2 linked regions of the Drosophila melanogaster genome follow. The protein of the gene in region 1 interacts with the protein of each later gene in a pairwise test. Each region holds a gene or a part of one and is shown in the gene's direction. Other genes may lie near its edges. The genes, in order: beta-Spec and nst.

Evidence for each region.
Region 2: the proteins of beta-Spec (region 1) and nst interact in a two-hybrid assay, tested with the Drosophila melanogaster proteins (one large-scale study listed by BioGRID).

Annotation. Positions count from the first base shown.
Region 1 is NC_004354.4:17,655,155-17,660,411, forward strand, and holds the start of beta-Spec (beta spectrin), read left to right. Parts: upstream 1-2,217; 5' UTR 2,218-2,379; exon of another isoform or gene 2,380-2,383; intron 2,384-5,257. Other genes in the region: IntS2 (integrator 2), read right to left, coding at 1-304, 629-1,444. UniProt on the Drosophila melanogaster protein: Spectrin is the major constituent of the cytoskeletal network underlying the erythrocyte plasma membrane. It associates with band 4.1 and actin to form the cytoskeletal superstructure of the erythrocyte plasma membrane.
Region 2 is NT_037436.4:12,526,607-12,532,293, reverse strand, and holds nst (nesthocker), read left to right. Parts: upstream 1-2,122; 5' UTR 2,123-2,258; coding exon 2,259-2,359; intron 2,360-3,045; coding exon 3,046-4,492; intron 4,493-4,561; coding exon 4,562-4,663; 3' UTR 4,664-5,079; downstream 5,080-5,687. Other genes in the region: Tsf2 (transferrin 2), read left to right, coding at 1-193, 257-421, 488-1,546.

The DNA of each region.
Region 1 (5,257 bases):
CCGAGGGCGTCGCCTGCGGACAACTCGTGACCAGCTGCGACAGAGCATTGATCTCGTCGTCGTTGAACTTCAGGCCACCGATGCCGCGCAGGGCACAGTACAGACGCAGCAGCACCGCGCCCTGCAGATTGAAGTCGCGCAGCTCCGCCGCATTGGTCGTCGTTTGAATCACCTTCTGTAGCAGCTCCACGCGCACCAGATTCAGTGCGTCCCCCTTCCGCTTCTGGCTGGAGCGGATGTAAGCGGCGAACCAGGAGCGCAGATTCTGGTCATTGCCCAGCAGCAGGCCCGTGAGGAAGGCTATCTGTGGGGAGTGGTTGAAGTTTGCATTGTTATCTCATTATTCGTAAATATTGTCATACGTCCAAATAAGATTCAATCGCTCTAGCGAATTAGAGCGAGATAGCTAAGCAACATTTTCTCGCTTTTGCTTTTGCTTAACACATGTTACACAAAAATAAGCAGAACTCCAAATGAATGGTACTCCAAACAAAAAAGATCAATCAACAAAATATGATCAAAAAACATTTCTTATGTACGTTAAATTTAAATGAAATGCAAAGAATTTCCTAACGATTATAGTGTTGTGGTAAATCTGCACCTTACTGGTCAATATTACCCTACTCACCAGATCCTCGGGATGCTTGAGCGTGAGCTTAAGCATAAACGACGGCACCTTCAGCATATCCACGCACATGGACCTGTTGGCCAGCGCCTGGGAGGGATTCATCTCGCTGAGCCCCATGAGCAGCATTAACCGGTGCTTGCCATCGCTGCCATCCTCGTCGCAATTGGCGATCACATGGGACACAACGTCGCGATAGCAATCCGGAAAGTTGGCGACCAGTGCGCAGATGATGCGATGTCCGTTGGGCACATGGACAAGGGCGTCCGTTAGCTCCAGTATGTTCAGCAGGGAGGGCAGCTCGGCGAGAGCAATGCACAGAATGTCGACCACCTCCTCCAGATAGATGCCGTCGTCCAGCATCTCCGAATGGGCGGCCGGTTTCTGCTCGGAGACCTGCTGCTGCAGATTGAAGATCTCGGAGAGCACCACGCGCACCTTGCGCGCCACATCCGCCCGCTCAAAGCCCAGTGCGATGCCCGACTGGAGGCCGTACTCGTGTTGCTGTCCCTCGAAGAAGGCCGACTTCTGGCGGGCCTGCAGCTCCTTCTTCAGCTCATTCTCCAGCTCATGGTAGTTGACTTGCAGGTAGGAGACGATGCTGTTCACCACCTCGATGCCGATGAGCACGGCCAGGATCTCTTTGCGCGACTCCATCGACGATTCGGTGTTGTCCAGTGGCGATAGCAGGCTCATCCGCACCAGCGAGGGCAGCACGGGCCGAATCTCCGCCTCCGGATAGCTGGCCAGCAGGGTGATGTCCAGATTCTGCATGGCGCAGAAAACGCGCGGCGATACATCGTACATCCTCACCGGCATTTTGTCCTCGTCGTCGTTGTCGTTGCGTTCCAACTTGTTGCACCCGGCAATGCTCGTGTGCTCGGTTGTCCCGCTCTATTGGCCTGGCCGGCGGGGTGTCCGTGCTGGAGATGCCGGCGCGGGTCTGCTTTAATCTCGGCGATCTGTAGTTGGGGCAGGGAATGCCGGAGAATCCGAGAATCCACTGCGATCCGCATCCAAAAAATCAACACACGTCAGTGTGGCCAGTTGGAGAGGCTGCAAATATACCAGCAATTACTACATTTTATTATTTTATTATTATAAAAATACTATACTGCTCTCATAGGTGAAGGTTAACAAAGAGATGCGCAGCTAAAGAAAAATATTAACAATTATTGCAAGAGGCTAACAACTATTAGTACTATTAAGTTAGTAAAATCTTTACTGTTATTATTAGCAATAAGGCTTATATTCTCCCAAAAAGCCAACATATTAAAAAAAGTTAAATATAAATAAGTTATGTTTGTATATAAGCATTTCTGTAACGAAAATCTTAGGAAAATAAGAACATTTTGGTTCTGATAAAAATTTAATTAATATTATTTAAATAGCTCGAAGTAATAGAGTACATGTGGCGTAAACAATTGTTTATGTAATATTAGGTTATACAAATATGAAGGAATATTTAAGTTAAATAATATATAAAAATCTTAAGTTCCACCGTTTTGGCTAATTTATAGCCAGATCATGTGGCACGGCCACACTGCGCAGTAGGCGTTTTTTAGCGCCTTCTCGCGCTGGTTCACTTCGTTCACTCGTTCGCAACGCGATGTTTTGAATACATACATTTTTTCCATTCTCGCCAAGTGAAGTTCATCCGCCAGACCGAAGATTTTTAGTTGAACGTGCTAAATCTATGAAATTAACTGTGTTTTATGAATCAATTAGGGCGAGCGGAGCTGCAAAATTATCGAGTAGGTAAGTGAAAGTCGCCGCAGTGCAGTAAAAACGGCGCGAAATTCGAAACGCAAGCGGTCGAACGGGGAAAATGTGAAATAGACCAACGCCCAAGTGAATAGGCCACGAAAAAGGAGCCACCAATAAAAGGCAGAAGTGGCAAAAGAGAGCAAAAAGTATCTAACGAATGTGTGAGCGACTCTTACTCTTGGTGTGCCTGTGTGTGTGTTTTTGGTTTGAGAATTAGAAGTGTGCTAAAATATGAAAAGCAAGTGATTTCTCGCATACATTTCTACGTACATAATAAAAACATCATCGATTAAAATTGCCTGCTAACTCATATATTTCGACGCTGTCGCCGTCGCTGCCGGCGTCGCTGTCTCTGCCACCGATGATGACATCATTCGGTTTTCGTTGAGAGCGCGTAGCGTGCGTGAGTGTGTGTGTATGTTTGTTCGAGTAATCGAATTGGACGAGTGTAGTTCGCATTTTTTTTTTTATTTTTTAAATTACTTGGTGTAAATGTGCCTGAATGGCAGGACCGAAACTCTAGAGCTGTGAATTAAACGCATGAATGACATGTTGCTGTGCAAGAAGAAGAAGCGCAAGCCTTAAGTAACGTTTGCGTCAGTTGTTCGTTCCGTTGGTGATAAAAAGCGAAGAACACGGCTATCGCCTAATCGGAGATATATATATATATATACATGTGTATCATACGTTGAGGTTCCGTGTGCTTGTGAGTTTTATGAAATACAAGCGGTGCGCTCTTTTTTCTTCCCCGTAGATACGCATACGCCTATGCACTTGGCTGAAATACAGTTACGTGCTCACCAACACATCGGCTAAAAATAACACACACTCCCCATTTCCCATTTCCCTTGCACCCCGCTCTTCTCACCCACCCGGCCCTCTGAGGTCACGAGTTGAAGTTTCATTTCGAAGTTACGAGTTAAAAGATATAAATATACTGAGCTGCACTTGCCCAATGTTTGTTTGCTTATGTGTTTGTTTGTGCTTCACCTTGTCGCTGATGTTGTTGCATTGTTGTTGTTTATGACAAATCACACACGTACAGTTGTAAACACAACACACACACCCGCACACAAACCTACAAACATACAGGCATTCAATCAATTGATCGCCGAAAACTCATTAACTTGCTCATAAATGGCAGGGAAAACTGGTTTTTCCTTAGCAAAGCCTCAGCTTTGGTGGTGGTTTCATTTCCAAGTTTCCAAAGTTGAACTCTTGGCCTGTTTAATTGAACTCGCAGTTGCACACACGCCCCGCTCTCTCTCTTCCGCTCACACTGTGTCTCTCTTCATCGCTCTCTGTGATGAACTCACACTGGAAACAAGAGGATCGGATCGGCCATCATAATTAAGTCTAGAAAGCACCAACAATTGAAGGTGGTAAGGTGGGGTGGGTGGTTGGGGTGTGTAAGGGGAAGAGAGCTAGCCCGTGAGAGCGTCTTGTGCAGTTTCCACCCCTCTATCCCTTGCTCACTTCCACTTCCAGCACTCCTACTCTAACTGCACCACCTTCCAGATACAGATATATAGATACAATAGTACTCTCCCTCTTTCTCTTTCTCCTCTCTCCATCTCTATCTATCGCTCTGCGCTCCAGTTTTGTTGTTGCTCGCTCTCGCTCTCTCAAAGTTTTAAGCTTCGTTTTAATAAAAATATTACGTAATACTAAGATAGAAGCTGCTGCGTGCGTGTGCGTGTGTGCTGATTTTGCTTTTGTTTGTTTTAACAATTCTCGCTCGCACTATGGTTCTTGATGTTCTTCATTTTGGGTGTTGTTGTCGCGGTGCTCTCATAAAACTTAGTACAAATGAAATCAGCAGCTTAGTTAATTGTGTAAGCGAGAAGAGGAAGAGCGAAGAACGAAGAGTAGAGGAGGGCGATAACGAAGCGATGGGAAAAAGTTATGTTTGCTGCTTTTGTTGTTGTTGTGTGCGTAGAAGGGAATGACCCCGGCACCTGTGCAAACGCGAATGTATATAAAGGTCAAAGGACATTAGCACAAAAACCCACTGTTATACACAGCAAAAGGGGCCTGATTCAATCAGTGATTCTATTTTTGTCCTAGGTCGGCAAGCTTATATTACTTAATTCCATTAATCAAGCAATTAAATTGTTATTCTAATCGAGTTGCGGTCATTCATTAAAGAATTCATTATTCATCTTACAAATAATTTTCAAAAATATCATACTGAATTGCATTTACTGTAAATAAAATATTGTGAATGAATAAAAGTTGAAAACATGAACTGACATAATATTTCTAATAATTTACTAAAATTTTGTAGAGGCAGTATTTTATTTGGGGAAATTTTGAGTTCTGAATTAAGTACTGTGTTCTCCTAATTTGTAATGTGAAAGCCGCGGAGAAAGTGCGGCAATAAAAAAACAAAAAAATATGTCAAGTGGAAAAAGTACAGCCCAAGTACTTCGCCCATTTTCATTGCAACCTAAAAGCTTGCAAAAGTGTGAAAAACGCTGCGATGTGTGAAACCGAATGAATTTTCGAGGGCCAACTGCCGTGTGAATAGGTCGTAATTTCAAATCGTCGGCTACGTCGATAAAAAACCAGTGAAATACTAGTATACAAGCCCATGTAAATGAGTGATAGACATACGTGTGTCCCGTAAAACAAAAAGCTCGCCGATGGAAAAATGGAAACTGAATGGGCCCAGCATGAATATGATTTATGAAAATGTGAAATGTGCGATGTGTGTTCACAGTTGAGGTCATAAAGATAGCAGCGAACTTTAGCATTCAAGCTAAAACTTATTAGCTACGACGTTATATACTTTTTGTGCCTTTTTATTGTTAGTCTAATTATAAAAAAAAGAGCAAGTATTTATAGTTATAAAATCAATAACAA
Region 2 (5,687 bases), on another chromosome or scaffold:
TGCCTATGGCCAGTTCGATAATAATGATCCGTACAGAACGCAGAATCAATACGATCAGTATCGCAGCGAACGATTGGACAGCAGTTTTGCAGAGGAAAGAAACCAGCAGGACGGCACGAACACTTCCATACTCTATGAGAAGTTCCGCATCTTCGAGTCGAAGCGCTATGGCAAGCCAAATTTGCTGTTCCAGGTAAGTGGATCATATTTTCCGTGATCCGAAATACATACTTAACATTCAATTGTTTTGTGACAGGATTCTAGTCGCGCTCTAACCGTGATTCCCGAAGATGATCAGTCATTTACCAAGTACCTAGGCCCTGCCATTAACTTTATCTACGGCATCCGTGAGTGTCCAGTTCCAGCGATGACGCTTTGCGTGACTTCGGAGAATGAGCTTGATAAATGCATCAAGATGAGGGTGAGTTGAAGAGTGAATATATGGATAGCAAGATGAGTTGATGATCCTTTACAAAAACACTTTTAGACTGCCTTGAAAGCTCACCTCCTGAAACCAGAACTCATCTGCAAGAAAATGCACTCCCACATCAACTGCATGCAGTTCATCGAAGCGGGCAAAGCAGACATCTCCGTTTTCGATGCCGGCGATGTCTACACTGGTGGCCTCAACTACGACCTGGTGCCCTTCATGTCGGAGGTGTACAATCTGGGCGAGCCCGAGTATTATGTGGTTGCCGTGGCCAAGGAGGATGATCCCGATACGGAGCTAACTTACCTGAAGGGTAAGAATACCTGCCATACGGGCATTAACACCGCCGCTGGCTGGACATATCCGATGGCGCTTTTCATCTCGAACGGCTGGATTCGTCCCTACGGATGCGATTCGGTTCGAGCTGCCGCGGAGTACTTCACCAAGTCGTGCGTGCCGGGTGCCATTAGCAATGAGTACAACACCGGTGTGCCCTACGACAGCATGTGCGATCTGTGTCATGGAACTAGCTATCGCTATTGTCGTCGCGATGCCTCCGAGGAATACTACGGGCACACGGGTGCATTCCGTTGCCTCGTCGAGGGCGGCGGTCACGTGGCCTTCATGAAGCACACCACGGTGATGGAAAGCACGGGCGGCAAACGCAAGGAATGGTGGGCCAGGAATGCCCTAAACGATGACTTTGAGCTGCTCTGCACGGATGGTACTCGTGCCGAGATCCAGGACTACAAGCGCTGCAATCTGGGCAAGGTTAAGGCCAATGCTGTGGTCACCCGCGGCGGAGTCAACTACAACGAGACCCAGATGAATGCCTACATCAATCTGCTGACCTATGCCCAACAACTGTACGGTCGCAAGGAAGTGGACGCCTTCAGTTTCAGCATGTTCTCCTCGCCGATCGGGCACTATGATCTGATCTTCCAGGACGCCACGCGGCAGCTGCAAGTAATTCCGCCCAATAAGCGCAGGTATGATGCCTATTTGGGCAGCGATTTTATGCGAGCACGCCGCATCACCGACTGCTATGCTGGTGCCTCCCAGTTGGCATTATCCGTGGGCCTGCTCCTCGTGGGTTCGCTGGTTGCAATGCTCTAAGCCACTAGACTCACTTAGATTTCAGAATTCTACAAGCATCTCTAGCACAAAGAGAAAACATATCAACATTTTTACATTCCAAATATGATTAAGTTAAATGTGAAATCCCTTCCGTCCGAAAATGAAACTCTAACTAGCCGAAAAATATCTGTTGAAGGCTATAGTTTATAATTTATAAAGTCCTGTGCCTTATTATAGTATTTGTTTGTGTACATACCAACTAAGACCGTCCAAAAAATGTACCTAGGAGATGTAAGCCGAATCTTTTACAACCGCTTATGTAAGTATACAAATAAAATAACTAGATAAAGGAGTTATTTTGCTTATTTTGAATTAGTATCATTTGAAGAATCCTAATATCTTGACCGCAATTGTAGCCGCCAAATTCAAATTGAATATGTGCGCTAACATCGCTTTGAAACATAGATGTTATTGAAATTTACGCTGGTAAATATTGCATTTAACCTTAAAACACTCTGTATTGTTTATAAAGCCAGTAAAATGTTTGAAATTAAAGAAAATAGCGTAGTTACAAGTTTCAGCGCAGTGTGACCGCTTGGCCGCATAAGCAAGGGTGGAACAGTGCCGCGAAACGACGGTCACACCCGCCTGCACACATCTGTGGAATTGTTAAATTTCGAAAGTCCGGAAAAACCGGACGGAACCTTTCACCTCGCTCTGGACCAGTGGCACCGCCCTCGAGTATCGCAAGATGTCTATTAACCTGCGCACCGTCTACGCCTTCGCCCGCGAGATGTACCCAAAGACCTCCAAGGAGACCATCCAATATGGAACAGCTGGCTTTCGCGGCAAGTGAGTAGTTGCCTCCATTAACGATCTTAATAATCATCATAATCATTATGCTAACACACCCACACGATGCACACGTTGGCGCATTTGATTAGCACACGGCGATTGTTGGTGGTTTTTTTTTTTTTTTGATAAATGGGCGGTTGCAGGGCTGTGATGTTGGAATTTGGCGTTTATTTTTAGATATTGTTCACCTTTTATCAATGGACATGCCCTTCTTTCGCCGTTATGTCTGCCTGTATGTGCGTAAGTGTGCGTGCATGTGCATATGTGCATACATACTGACGCACAGTCGCGGGCAGCGAACTAGTGCCACATGTGCAAGTTGCAATATTTTCAAATCTCAATGATTAATAACTTGTTATTTGTGAAAAATGAACCAACTAAGTATTTGATTACATAGTTTGTGGTTTCCGCGCCCTTATTTTCTAACCACTTTACAGCCAGATAACAAAGTTTCCATGACACACCTACTGATAAAAGCAATTGCAACGCCTAAAATGAGCAATACACAGTGCTTCTATAGGCTTATCAATCCAGCGAAGATAAAATAGATAGCTAAAGTGATAACACACATATAAACAAACAACATTAGGTACAAAACATTTTCCAACTCCAAAATACAAGCTAAAAGATACTTTTGTATCTAAACAAAATCCTGATGTAATAACTCCGCATTTTTTTTTTAGGGCTGAGTTCCTGGACAGCGTGATGTTCCGCATGGGCGTTCTGGCCACCCTGCGTTCCCGGTATCGCGGAGGCTCCGTCATCGGTGTGATGATCACGGCATCGCACAATCCGGAGCCGGACAACGGAGTGAAGCTGGTCGATCCCAAGGGCGAGATGCTGGAGGCCAGCTGGGAGGCGATAGCCACCGATCTGGTCAACGTCAGCGACCAGGAGCTGGAGCAGCAGGTGGCCAAGATCATAAAGGACAACAATATCGATGTGACGACCAGTTCCCAGGTGTTTGTGGGCATGGACAACAGATACCACAGTCCGCGGCTGCTGAAAGCGGTGGCCGATGGCGTGATAGCGCTAAAGGGTAACGTCAAGGAGTACGGCATTGTGACCACACCCATGCTGCACTACTTCGTGGTGGCGGCGAATACCAAGGAGGCATACGGCAAGCCCACCGAGGAGGGTTACTACGACAAGCTGATCAAGGCATTCGAACTGCTGCGCAACGGGCGCCTGGAGAACGGCAACTATCGCAATAGCATCATCTACGATGGTGCCAACGGTGTGGGTGCGCGCAAGATGCTGCAGTTCATCAAGCGCATGAAGGGCACCCTCAACGTGACGGTCATTAATCAGGGCATCGGTGTCGGCAAGATCAACGAGGACTGCGGCGCCGACTACGTGAAGGTGCAGCAAAGTCCGCCGAAATCCATGCCCGAGGATGTGAAGCCGTACACGAGATGCGTCAGCGTGGATGGCGATGCCGATCGGGTGGTGTACTTCTTTACCGACGACAAGGGTGAGTTCCATCTGCTCGATGGCGATCGCATAGCCACCCTAATCGCCGGCTATCTCATGGAACTGGTCACACAATCCGAGATTAGCCTACGGCTGGGCCTGGTGCAAACTGCCTACGCCAATGGTGCATCCACGGACTACATAGTGGACCAGCTGAAGTTTCCCGTTTCGTGCGTACCCACGGGCGTGAAGCACCTGCACCACAAGGCCTTGGAGTACGACATTGGTGTTTACTTCGAGGCGAATGGCCACGGAACGATTGTGTTCAGTGACAATGCTAAGGCGACGATTGCCCAGGTGGCCCAAACTAAGGAGAGTGCCAAGACGTTGCTGCTGCTCATCGATCTTATCAACGAGACCGTGGGCGATGCCATATCCGACATGCTGCTGGTGGAAACAATCCTAAATCACAAGGGCTGGGATGTCCAGGATTGGATCTCGTCGTACAACGATCTGCCCAACCGACAGCTAAAGGTGAAGGTGCAGGATCGCAATGTCATCGAGACGACGGATGCGGAACGCGTGTGCGTAAAGCCCGAAGGTCTGCAGACGGAAATCAACCAGGTGGTGGCGAAATACAAGCGGGGACGCTCCTTCGTTCGCCCCTCGGGCACCGAGGATGTGGTGCGCGTCTATGCCGAAGCAGCCACCAAAGAGGTAAGGCTTATAAGTTAACTCTTAGCACTAGATCAAAACACTCTACTTACTATCTTTTTTTTACGACAGGACACCGATAATCTTGCCTACGAAGTGGGTCTGCTGGTCCAGAAACTGGCCGGCGGAGTTGGCCCCCCATTGACGAAGCCCAACAGCAGTGCCCACCTGTAGAGCGGAATGACGAACTAACCTCTCACGGGAATCGACAATTGACACAGATCCTGGATGGAGCAATAAATCTCTTTACTCTAAGGTGCTCAATAACTTAAAAAAAAAACAACTTAACTCTCAAACGCATTTATTCTGCAAATGTTCACTGTCTTTTGTGTTCTAAAGATGACATATTTTTTGCCATTATTTATAAAGTTCTTTTCAAGTTTATTTATACATATGTACATTGTGAAAGTTGCAATTTTATGTCCTTCGCTATTTTGTAATTGAAGAATTTAATGAAAATGCAACCGCTACGTTGATTTTTTTGTTGAGCTGCTAGCGGTAACTATTGAAATTATAAAAGAATTGATAGTAGAGATTAATGAACCTAATCAAGTTTGTATTGCTATTTTCTATAAAAGTATTTTTTAAACAATCTAAAGATCCTTTTACTTTAGGTCGAATATAAATCAGTTTTCACTTCATTTGGAATTTACTATGCTGTACGCACAATTTATGGCAAATTTAAATCACTGTCCCGGCAAATAAATTAAAATTTTGCCAACTTTTATTTTTAAACTTAACATTTTAATAAATGTTAATGGAGCTGGCAGAATTGAAACGCGCCATCTGGCGGTCAGTAGCGGAGACATGTAGGACAGTAATTGATAAGGACTACTGTTAACTGTTACAATGTAAGCAAATACTTCAAAACTGTTATACTTGTGTTAATTAAAGCATACGTTCAAAAGTCGAGTTGAGTTATTGAATGTTAACTGTTCGTAGTTCGAAAGTTATCTAATTTAGCTAACTAATTTAGCAATTGTTTATAAAAAAGTTTTACTTGAATATTATTAATACTCGGTATATCTATGCAAATGGTATTAAAAGTATATTTTCGCATGCCGGATGGTTTACTCGTCTAAAACTCAGCCGGTCACACCGTCTGATTGCCGTGCTGTCACTTTGGCTGATGCAATTGCAGTTTTTTTAGTTAAAACAAAATTAGTTTCCAGTCAACTAGTATTCAAACAGCCCAGAC